2 linked regions of the Caenorhabditis elegans genome follow. The protein of the gene in region 2 interacts with the protein of the main gene of each other region in a biochemical or structural test. Each region holds a gene or a part of one and is shown on either strand. Other genes may lie near its edges. The genes, in order: famk-1 and F46A8.3.

Region 1 (6,434 bases), on a different chromosome or scaffold from region 2:
TTAGCATTTGATTAGAAACACCGTTTGTCAATTTTTAAATTACTTTTCCGTAAAGCGGAAATTTCAAAATCAACCTAATAATCGACAATTTTAATATTTTTTATAATATTTTTTTAAAGAAAAGTGTTCGAAAAATTGACTAACAGAATTTTAACTCAAATGCAGAAGATGAAATCAAGGAAACCTGGTAAATTAAGCCAGAAAACGCGAAAATATTGAAAATGACGTCACTCATTTGCGCGGGAATTTAAATTTAATTTGGCCGCTTTTTTTAATTTTTGCAAAGTTGAAAAATCATAAAAAATTTTGAAATTTTGAAATTTTTTTTGAAATTTTGAAAATTGTTAGCAATATTGAACAGTTATATTCGGTCATTAGGGTCCACTTTTTGTCAAAATTTTAATTACTTGAAACTAAAATTTTTTTAAAAAAATTTTAAAAAATTCCTTGAAACTTGATCTCTGAAAATAACAATTCCTGTACTGGAAATGAAAAAAAAAACACAGAACAATTTAATCACAACATTTATGATTCGTCCTGAAAGTAGAAAAAAAAACAACCGATTTGACAAGAAATGGAGCACTGCAGCCACATTGCTCAGCGAGAATTATATACCCAGTAAGTTTGCGTCTTTTGATAAAAGAAGTATGATATTCAATAGGAAAAAAAAAGAAATGACAAAAAAAGAGCTGAGAATATATAATCATAATATTCAACAGAAATTCTACACAAAACAACTATCAGGTTACTTTTCAAATTCTTCGAGAAATTTTTTCGATATTATAACACCGATTTGTTTTTGATTTGACCTACATAATATGACCCTCATAAATGAATGTTTGACCAGAGAGAAACCGTGGAGCGATGGATGGGATACCTTCTTGTGGGTTTAAAAAACGGGGGGAAGTGAAAAGAAAAAATACAACAATAACAGAGAGTGAAAGAAGCTCGAGACCCGAATGCAACGCAAAGAAACATTGAAGTTTAAGAGGGAAATTTAAAATGCTACTACATGACCTTGGTAAAATTGAGAAGACCTAACGAATGACGACTAAACAGTTTTCTTATCATCCTTCTTATCCTGATGCTCCTCGCTTTGCTCTTCGTCGTTTTGCTCGGCGTCTGAGACATCGGGGTTGTTGTACTCGGCAACTAGAACTTCGGCAACTCCCCGGCTTTCGAAGCATTCCAGTATGTGAGACATAACTGAAAATTGTTTTTTTTTCTTTAAGTTTTGTATTCCCAAATTGGAATTTTCACAGGAAAATATTTTTCAGGTTTTTCGGTAACCTTTCAATATAATTTCAATACTTACTTTTTGCTAACCGCCTTTCCATTGCCGGATAATGCTTATAAGCCAAAATCGGATGGGCTGGATCTTTCGATAATGACTCGTGTAGGGCTTTCGTCAGTGACTTTGGTGTACTGTAGAAATTCATAAGGGTCTGGAAAGTGGATGGACGTAGGATGCAGCATTGTCGGAGCGGGAGAATGATGTCGTCATCGTCAAAGTCAGATCTGCCAAATGCTCGACCATGGTCGAGATGGATCGCATAGGAAGGAAGATCGTTGAACACGTTGAAGGATTCGAAGTGATGACGGTCTTGGTTTCCTGGATGTTTGTAGTTTAGTCTTTGGTTAATAATAAAATGTTAGTAAACTTGTGGTAAATGTGCACCCGACATTGAACGAGGTCCATAAAAAGCACTGTGAGCAGCAAATTCTATATTGTACAGTTGCTGTCTTTCAATTACTCTCCTCATACAGAACAGTTATGAAACTTTAATACTCGTAGCACTGTCAGAAATACGAAAAAAAAATTCCGTACAGTTATTCTATATTTACCATCCATTCGGAGGGTGCAAACACCACCGGTTTTTTATGTTCAAAATTTGACAACTGCAAATTCTTACCTATTAAATAATCCAAAATATGAATATCAACCAGATCAAGTAACCTTCTTCCATGAGCATATTGTCGCTTGGTTTTCACCTTATCCGTGCAATAATTCATACTCGACTGCCATTCAGCTACTTGATTCTTTTTCGAGTAGGTTCTGAAAACAGTCTGCTAGCTATTTTATTATCCATCGGCCTTCAACCTACCGTCTATACGGACTCCTATTATGCTTCCGAGGAACTGCTGACTCGTCGGGTAAGAACACTTGCACACTGCCTTCCTTCATATCAGGAAGACCGCAAATTGCATGTGTCGTGTCGCAGTAATAATCGCATCGTGACACGAAGCAAAAGTTTTTGGCTGGAATTATTTTTATAAAATTGATGTGGTGAACAGGTTTGGTGTCTTGATGTCAACTGTACCTGGAGAGAAGAAGAAAGTCTTCTTGAGTTTTTTCTCTGCTTTTTCGAACAGCTCAGTTGTCATATTGAGAACTCGTCCAACGGTGGGGATTGCTCGTCGGAAGCCGAGCACTCTGAAATTCAACTGACCGATTTAAAAAAAAAAATTGATAACCATCTCTAACAAAAACAAATCCATTATTTAATCCACTAACCTGTCTAAATGGAAAGTTGCGATTTCTGCATGATGTCGTTCAAAATCACTGAAGTAGAAATGATTCGGATCCGATTCATAATCGCGTCCAAATCTGAAAAAGAAAGAAAACAACTATTTTCCGGTGTTCTCTGTTCATCAAACCTCATCGGCTTAAACACGGCCTGCTTATCGTTTTTGAAGGTGAACACAAATTTCACTTGAGTGCCTCCATCCATAATGTGCACGTGTTTGATGGGACTTGTGTTGAGATCGTGCAGCAAGTTGTCAATCATTTGATCATCCGAGTACACCGAACAACTTCCAATGTTTGAGTAGAACCTCTCCCAGTTGTCATCTTCCGGCACATTTCTCCTGAAACAGTGATGAGATTTTTTTTTGCTGGCAGCTGGTGTTAAAATTTTCATTTTCATTTTCAATTTTTGAAATTTCAAAATATAAAACTTACTGTTCAGACTTCTCCCAGAACTTTGAAAGCGTGATGTTCTTCTTGCACTCGTTCTGCCTTAACTGATCAAAATCTACATTTTTAGTGAGATCATAAAGTTTGCGTAAAGTGATTTTGTTAGATGAAAACAAGAAGTTGAATGGATCACTAAGATCCTTCTCGCCAAGGCTTGGAGGAATTGGCTGGTGTGGTAGACTATTTTGTCCGACTGGAAACAAGTCGGGACTCTGGTGGCCTACAGCTCGTGCTTCGTTTGATTGAGGTCCTTGTTTCCATTCTCCTGAAAATGGATGCAAGATTATTTAGGAGAAACCTTGTGAATGGTTTGTTTAAAACTATCAACTTAGTCATACAGGCCCAGAGTTTAATAAATATAGTTATCATAAGAACTGTTAGAAAAGAGAGATAATTGAAAGGTGGAGTAGCGCCAGTGGGGAAATTGTTAACAACTATTCCTAAAATGCCGAAATGATCGAATATCATAATAAAACTTTTCAAAAATGTTTTCTAAATTTTTTTATTTACTGTCAAAAAGTGGCAATTACTCAGTTTTTGCCACTTATAATACTGGAAGTCGACCAAAATTATTTTTTCCTACATTTTTTACGCTTTAATTTTGTTTTATTTATTAGGATTTAAACATTGCAGGGGTCGGAACATGCGACGTTGCTCCAGATTTCACCAAAAGCTCATATTTTTCAAAACTGTGGAAATTTGCCAAAACTTTGATCGGAAATTATAAAAAATCTAAAAATGTTTTGGAGTGTTTTATTATGATATTCGGTCTTCTTGGATCATTATTAGTGTAGTTAGACAATATCCCCACTGGCGCTACTCCGCCTTTAATATTATAAAGTTCGAATAGGCCTAGTAAAAATATTATCAAAATGGGTAAACTACGAAAATCTATATATGTAGAACGTTTCAGACTTATTAAAAATTGCAATCAAATTTTTGGCAAACTGCCAGATTTTCAAGAAAATACAAAGTTCATAAACATTTTTTTGTAATTTTTTCCAACGTGTCATTGTCAAAAAGTTTTCTACTACTTTTTTAATACTTTTCTAGGAACAATATAAAAACTTTTGTGGAAAAGTGTTGATTAAAATAGTATTCAAAGATGTCTAAAGTTTTTCCATTTTTTTCGGAAATTGAGATTTGATCTAAATTTTCATATAGACAATAAAGACAAAATTGTCACAAAACTCCCACATGTTATAGGCCACATTTAGGCATAGTTTCTCTCTTGTTTTATCGATTGCTATCGCCACTATTCCTTTCTAGCGAATTCAAATAATCATTTTCAACCAATAAACAACACATATACAATTTTAGAACTTACTTTCATAGTTGTCCTTGGAAAACGAGATTATAACCAGTGTAGCCGCAAAAACTCCGATCGCCAAAGTGAATAATCGCTTTATATTGCACCGCATGTCTTTCTGGACTTTTCTCGTCTCACTTCTTGCTCTTTGCTGGTTTCAGCTTCATCAAACGCCGGCTCCCAGTTTTGTGACACTGCAAAATGAGCATTTATGGGGTGAGGTTCATAAGCTATTATAGATAAATAATGGGGTAGAATGAGGAAACAAGAGATCAAAGCGATTAATTAATAATTTACTCCAGCAATATATACCAATTACAATTCAATTCTAGTCCTATAAATTCAATTAAAGTTTCTTCTAATGGACAGAAGAGGGCAAGTGGGGGGAGAGAAAAAGAAACTGCCACACTGTTTTCGAGAAACATCACCACACGCACGCCATCAACCACCTCCTCCTCCTCCATCCACTCCTAAACTGACAGACCCGCACACCTTGTATATTGTAAAAACGACAAAACATTGGAGAGGCGAAGAGGCTGTAAACATCGGCGAATGATGTGGAGGGAAGGGCCTGGGAACGTCAAAGGTGTGTGTGGTTCGTTTCTTCGGCAGAGTCGCTGTGTGTGTTTGCTCGTAAAGTGCTGGGAAGCAAGAAATTGACGGAGGATTGCCCACCTTGCGTCACCGAACTTATTGGTGGTAAATGGGACTTTTTGGAAAATTAGCTGGGTCATCATTTGGGATGTGGTCAGGGTGGAGAACGAGATTGAGATTTTTGATATCCCACATCTAGAAATGATCCGTTATATGTATATTATGAGCCTTTAATAAGAGATGAGCACCAAAATTTGATTTATTATCCGTTTAAAAAACAGAAAATTTGGTTCGCTTTTGAGAATATTTTATGTAGAAAATTAAACAAAAACTGTAAGTTTGACAGGAAATTTCAATTAGCGACGAGGAAAAATCAACGACAATACTTTTACTAAATAGTTTTTTTAATTGGAAAAACAACACTTATTTTATCAAAATTTATAAATCGGACCAATTCAAGTTTGTTAATTTGTTACTAATTTGAAAAAAAACTCATAATTAAAATCAATTTTGCTCCCATGCAGATATATTTACTGCTCAAATAAACTAGGCTTAAACGTTTTACGATCAAACGTGTGGTTTTACATAAGCTTTTAAAATCTTAAAGTGGAGTAGCGCCAGGGGGAAATTGTTAAAAACCATTCCTATGGTGCCAAAATAACCGAATATCATAATAAAACTTTTCAAAAAAGTTTTCAAAATTTTTTTATTTACTGTCAAAAAGTGACAATTACTCAGTTTTTGCCACTCATAATTTTGGATTTCGACCAAAAAAAAATTTGTTTTTCTGCATTTTTTATATTGTAATTTTGTTTTATTTATTTGGATTTAAACATTGTAAGAGTCAAAACATACGACATTGCTTTGGATTTCCTCAAAAGCTCATATTTTTCAAAAATTTGTCAATTTTCCAGAACTTTGTCCGGAAAAAAAAGGAGTGGTTGATTATGATATTTGGTCGTTTTGGATCATTATAGGTTTATTTAGAAACAATCCCCACTGGCGCTACTCCACTTTTAAACATTGCACATAGAGAGAAAAATATGAAAAATAAGTACGAATCTGAAATTTCAATATTTCTATTTTAATTCCAAATCTGATTCAAAATTTAAAGATTTTTTCTTTCTATTTTCTAACCATAAAATAAAAACATTGGATCAAGAAAAAATAATCTTTCTCAAATTGTAGTCAGAATGATGATATCAGAGAAAAACAAATTTCAAGCAAAACAAAAACTATATGATAAGAAAGATGAAGAAAAAAATTGATTACACAGTTAACTGATGTTTAAACTTTTTAAATATAATGCCAACTAATTCTAATTATTGAATGTTACCCAAGGTTCAAATGATCTGCAATTGCAAAAGGTTACTTGGTTCAAGCATTCGGTTTCAAATGGTGTGGAACTTTTTATTATTTAGTCACCTGCAAGTGCATGTGGGCGGGAGATTGATGTAATACTAGGCTTGGGGAACAGGGAAACTACTTAACAATTCAAAAAAGGAAATATAATCTGAGTCTTAGATGAAGTTTTATAGAAAACGGGAAAAGTGA
Region 2 (3,275 bases):
TACTATTTTAAAAAATGTATTCCGTGACCAACCACGTGTCTATTTTTTTGTTGTTTACTTCAAATTTTCCAAATAAATCGATAATCAAAAAATCGAATCTATAATCAATTGTAATCATTTCCCAATAACACTACCTGCTTATTAAACAAATCAACTGATGGCGGAGTGTATCGATTCACTATTTATCTACAACATATTCATAATGATAACGGTAAGCTGCTACAAAAACTACAAAACTACAATTACTACAAACTACTTTCAGAGTGGAATCCTGGTCATGTGCTTTTGCAAGAAGAAGCCTCCTAAGAGCCAGTGTCCTGTGCGACCAATGACGATGTCGATGAGAGAGGTGACTCTAATTTTGTAGTTTGCAGCCTCTGAAACCGTATTTTTTCAGGCGCAGGTATCTGATGTGGGGCCGGACAGCACGCGGACAGCGATGGACAATCAGAAAAAGAGCAAGAAGAAGAAGAGCAAGGAGCCAGCCAAGAAGAAGAAGAAATCGGCGGATTCTTCGCAGAAGGTCTCGAAGAAGAAGAAGAAGTCGAGCAAATCGAAGAAGTCGGCGGAGAAGAAGAAGCCGGAGGTGGTGGCACCAATGGACCCGGATGTCAAGTCCACGCAGAGATCAGCGGTGAGTTTTTGGCCTTAGAATCTTAAGCCTAAGCCTAAGCCTAAGCCTGAGCCTAAGCCTAAACCTGAGCCTTAGCCTAAGACTAGGATTAGGCCTAAGCCAAAGGCTAAGCCTAAACCTACGCCAACGCCTAAGCCTAAGCCTCAGCCTCAGCCCAAGCCGGAGCCTAAGCCTACACCTAAGCTTTAGCCTAAGCCCAAGCCTGAGACTATGTCAAGGCTTTAGCCTAAGCCTAAGCCTCAGCCTCAGCCCAAGCCGGAGCCTAAGCCTAAGCCTAAGCATGAGCCTAAGCCTAACCCCAAGCCTAAGCCTAGGCATAAGCCTATGTTCAAGCCTAAGCCAAAGCCTAAGCTTCAGCCTAAGCCAAAGCCTAGCTTAACCCAAAAAAGTGAGCAAAAGCTGTTGTTCATTTACGATCTCTGCACCCAAATTTCATTTTCAGGAACGTAGTGAGCAGCCGGATCAAACGGCTCAGTGAGTTTTCCCAAAATCCTACAGAAAATCAAATTTCCCCCAAAATTTCAGAACAAAAACCGCCAAAAGCGGCAAAGATATGGCACCAGCCCAGACGCCTGCTCAGGATCGTAAGTTGTGTAGGAGACTACAAACTACAATCCGATTTTTCAGAAGGTCCCCTCCGATCCCAGCCTGTCGGGCTTCCAATGGCACCTGGTATCAAATCGATGGCGGCATTCTAGAATTGAACTTGATTAATGAAATAAGTGATTCTTTGTGAGGGCTACAAACTATGAACTTCAAGGCATTTAAGGCTATTTTCGGCCTATTCAAGATCATTTGAACAGGACAAAAAATTTTCTGAACTGTAATTTTTTAGTACTTAGTCAAATCAAAATTCAATAGTTACCGTATATAAATGGTCTAAAACAGTGTGTCCTATAAAATAGTCGAGTTTCTTTTAAACTTTAAAATGTTGACGTATAATAAAGCATTGCCGATATAACCGTCAAAAGTCACACATAAACTTTGAGACTGAAGTCGGCAAGCTATAAAACATGCTTCACTCCGCTGAATCTTCAAAAGTTCCTTTTCAATGAGGCTTGTTTTTCTACTCCTCACCTTTCTGGTGCTAGTTTCTGGGTATTTCTCTGACAATGACAGAAAAAAAGTTAAGAAAATATCTATTGTCCACTATGATTCAACATCCTCCAGTTCCTCTGAAGAACATCGTTATAGGCCACGTGGTGGGAAAAGGCCTAAGTTCGACGATGATTCCTCCGATGATTACAGTGGACGACGTGGTGGAGGGCGGCAAAGACCTCCAAGGCCTCCAAGGCCTGCACCAACACCTAAGCCTAGAGAAGACTGGATAACGATCAATGGACCATTTACAACCACTCTACCTATTCCTGGAGGATATTGGGATACTGGGAAGATCATGCGAATATACGGTATTCCTGGAAGCGGAAGATGGACCATCAATCTGGCCAAATCACAAACTTGGGTGTTCCATTTCGCGTGTGAACCTACCAAGGGACTTGTAAGTTTTGCTTTTGTAGGCTAGACGCCTCAGGCTTACGCCCCTCAGGCTTTGGTCCCTCTTCATTAATAGTTTTTTAGGTAGCCAGAACCCGACATACGAATGGAGCGTGGGAAGTCGGAGAGACATATAGTGAAAACCCATTTCAAGCTAACACCCAATTCAATGTTACTATGGTCAATCAGCCAACGCATATTGAGATTCATGTCAATGGTGCATTCTTTGTGAACTTTAATCATCGAGTTCCCAATCCATCCAGAGACTATCAAGGAATTGATTTCCAGTTTGTTGCTATCTCGAAAGTGGAGTTTTCACGATAATTTGAATAAAGAATTGTGTTGCATTTGATAGAGATTTGGATTATTTGATATGGAAGATGGTAGTTTGAAACTTTAAGCTTCAGGGTTTAGGGCCTTAAATCTCTCAAACTTATTGATGTTATAATAATATAATAAGTACGGTATAATATCCGGCTAACACAATAAACACGTCTATCAGACTCGTAGCCTTTTTTGAATCAGTAGAGCAACATCGGAAATTCTGAATTTCCACAAAACTGTGATTATCACAAAGTATGAGATTACCAAATGAGCTTTCAAAAAATGGATCTTGAGATTATTTATTAGAAGTATTATACATATATAATACCAAAAATATATATCAAAAATATATCAGAGGGAAATATTTAGAATTAAAGAATTAGTCAGATTAAAGAAAGGGAAAAGAAGTTGATAATATATCATCGAATTAAATCGATATTGAGGTTAGCGTGAATCATGTGAATAGGAAATGAAGGCTAAAATTTTGGTTTGAATCATAAGGATTAAAGTTCACATTCAATTGTGTACGATTTGACAAAAGCTTTAACTAAAAGAAGGTCTTAATGAGTTTAATACAAAATTTTTGCTAAAAGTTGGAGAATTATAAGAAGTATGTACAGACAAAAAAACATAGCTCTGTTTATTGATATCTGAAATTGCGTTCATCCAAAAAACGCTGGCAGTTAAAGAGAGAAGTATAATAAAACGCCGCTCGTAATCAAAAATACATAGAAGGTTATAAAACATGCTTCACTCCGCTGAATTTTCAAAAGTTCCTTTTCAATGAGGCTTTTACATGTTCTTCTGCTATTCACCTCTTTGG

What was found.
Region 1: of the proteins of F46A8.3 (region 2) and famk-1, one has a biochemical effect on the other in vitro, tested with the Caenorhabditis elegans proteins (one study listed by BioGRID).

What each region holds. Positions count from the first base shown.
Region 1 is NC_003284.9:15,208,780-15,215,213, forward strand, and holds famk-1 (Extracellular serine/threonine protein kinase CeFam20), read right to left. Parts: upstream 4,481-6,434; 5' UTR 4,454-4,480; coding exon of another isoform or gene 4,421-4,453; 5' UTR 4,399-4,420; coding exon 4,305-4,398; intron 3,243-4,304; coding exon 2,963-3,242; intron 2,869-2,962; coding exon 2,659-2,868; intron 2,609-2,658; coding exon 2,516-2,608; intron 2,435-2,515; coding exon 2,322-2,434; intron 2,260-2,321; coding exon 2,106-2,259; intron 2,057-2,105; coding exon 1,914-2,056; intron 1,613-1,913; coding exon 1,316-1,612; intron 1,207-1,315; coding exon 1,052-1,206; 3' UTR 510-1,051; downstream 1-509. UniProt on the Caenorhabditis elegans protein: Golgi serine/threonine protein kinase that phosphorylates secretory pathway proteins within Ser-x-Glu/pSer motifs.
Region 2 is NC_003279.8:11,241,931-11,245,205, reverse strand, and holds F46A8.3 (Galectin), read left to right. Parts: upstream 1-1,681; 5' UTR 1,682-1,685; coding exon 1,686-2,132; intron 2,133-2,212; coding exon 2,213-2,452; 3' UTR 2,453-2,469; downstream 2,470-3,275. Other genes in the region: F46A8.6 (uncharacterized protein), read left to right, coding at 203-349, 398-634, 1,077-1,108, 1,160-1,370; F46A8.4 (Galectin), read left to right, coding at 3,236-3,275.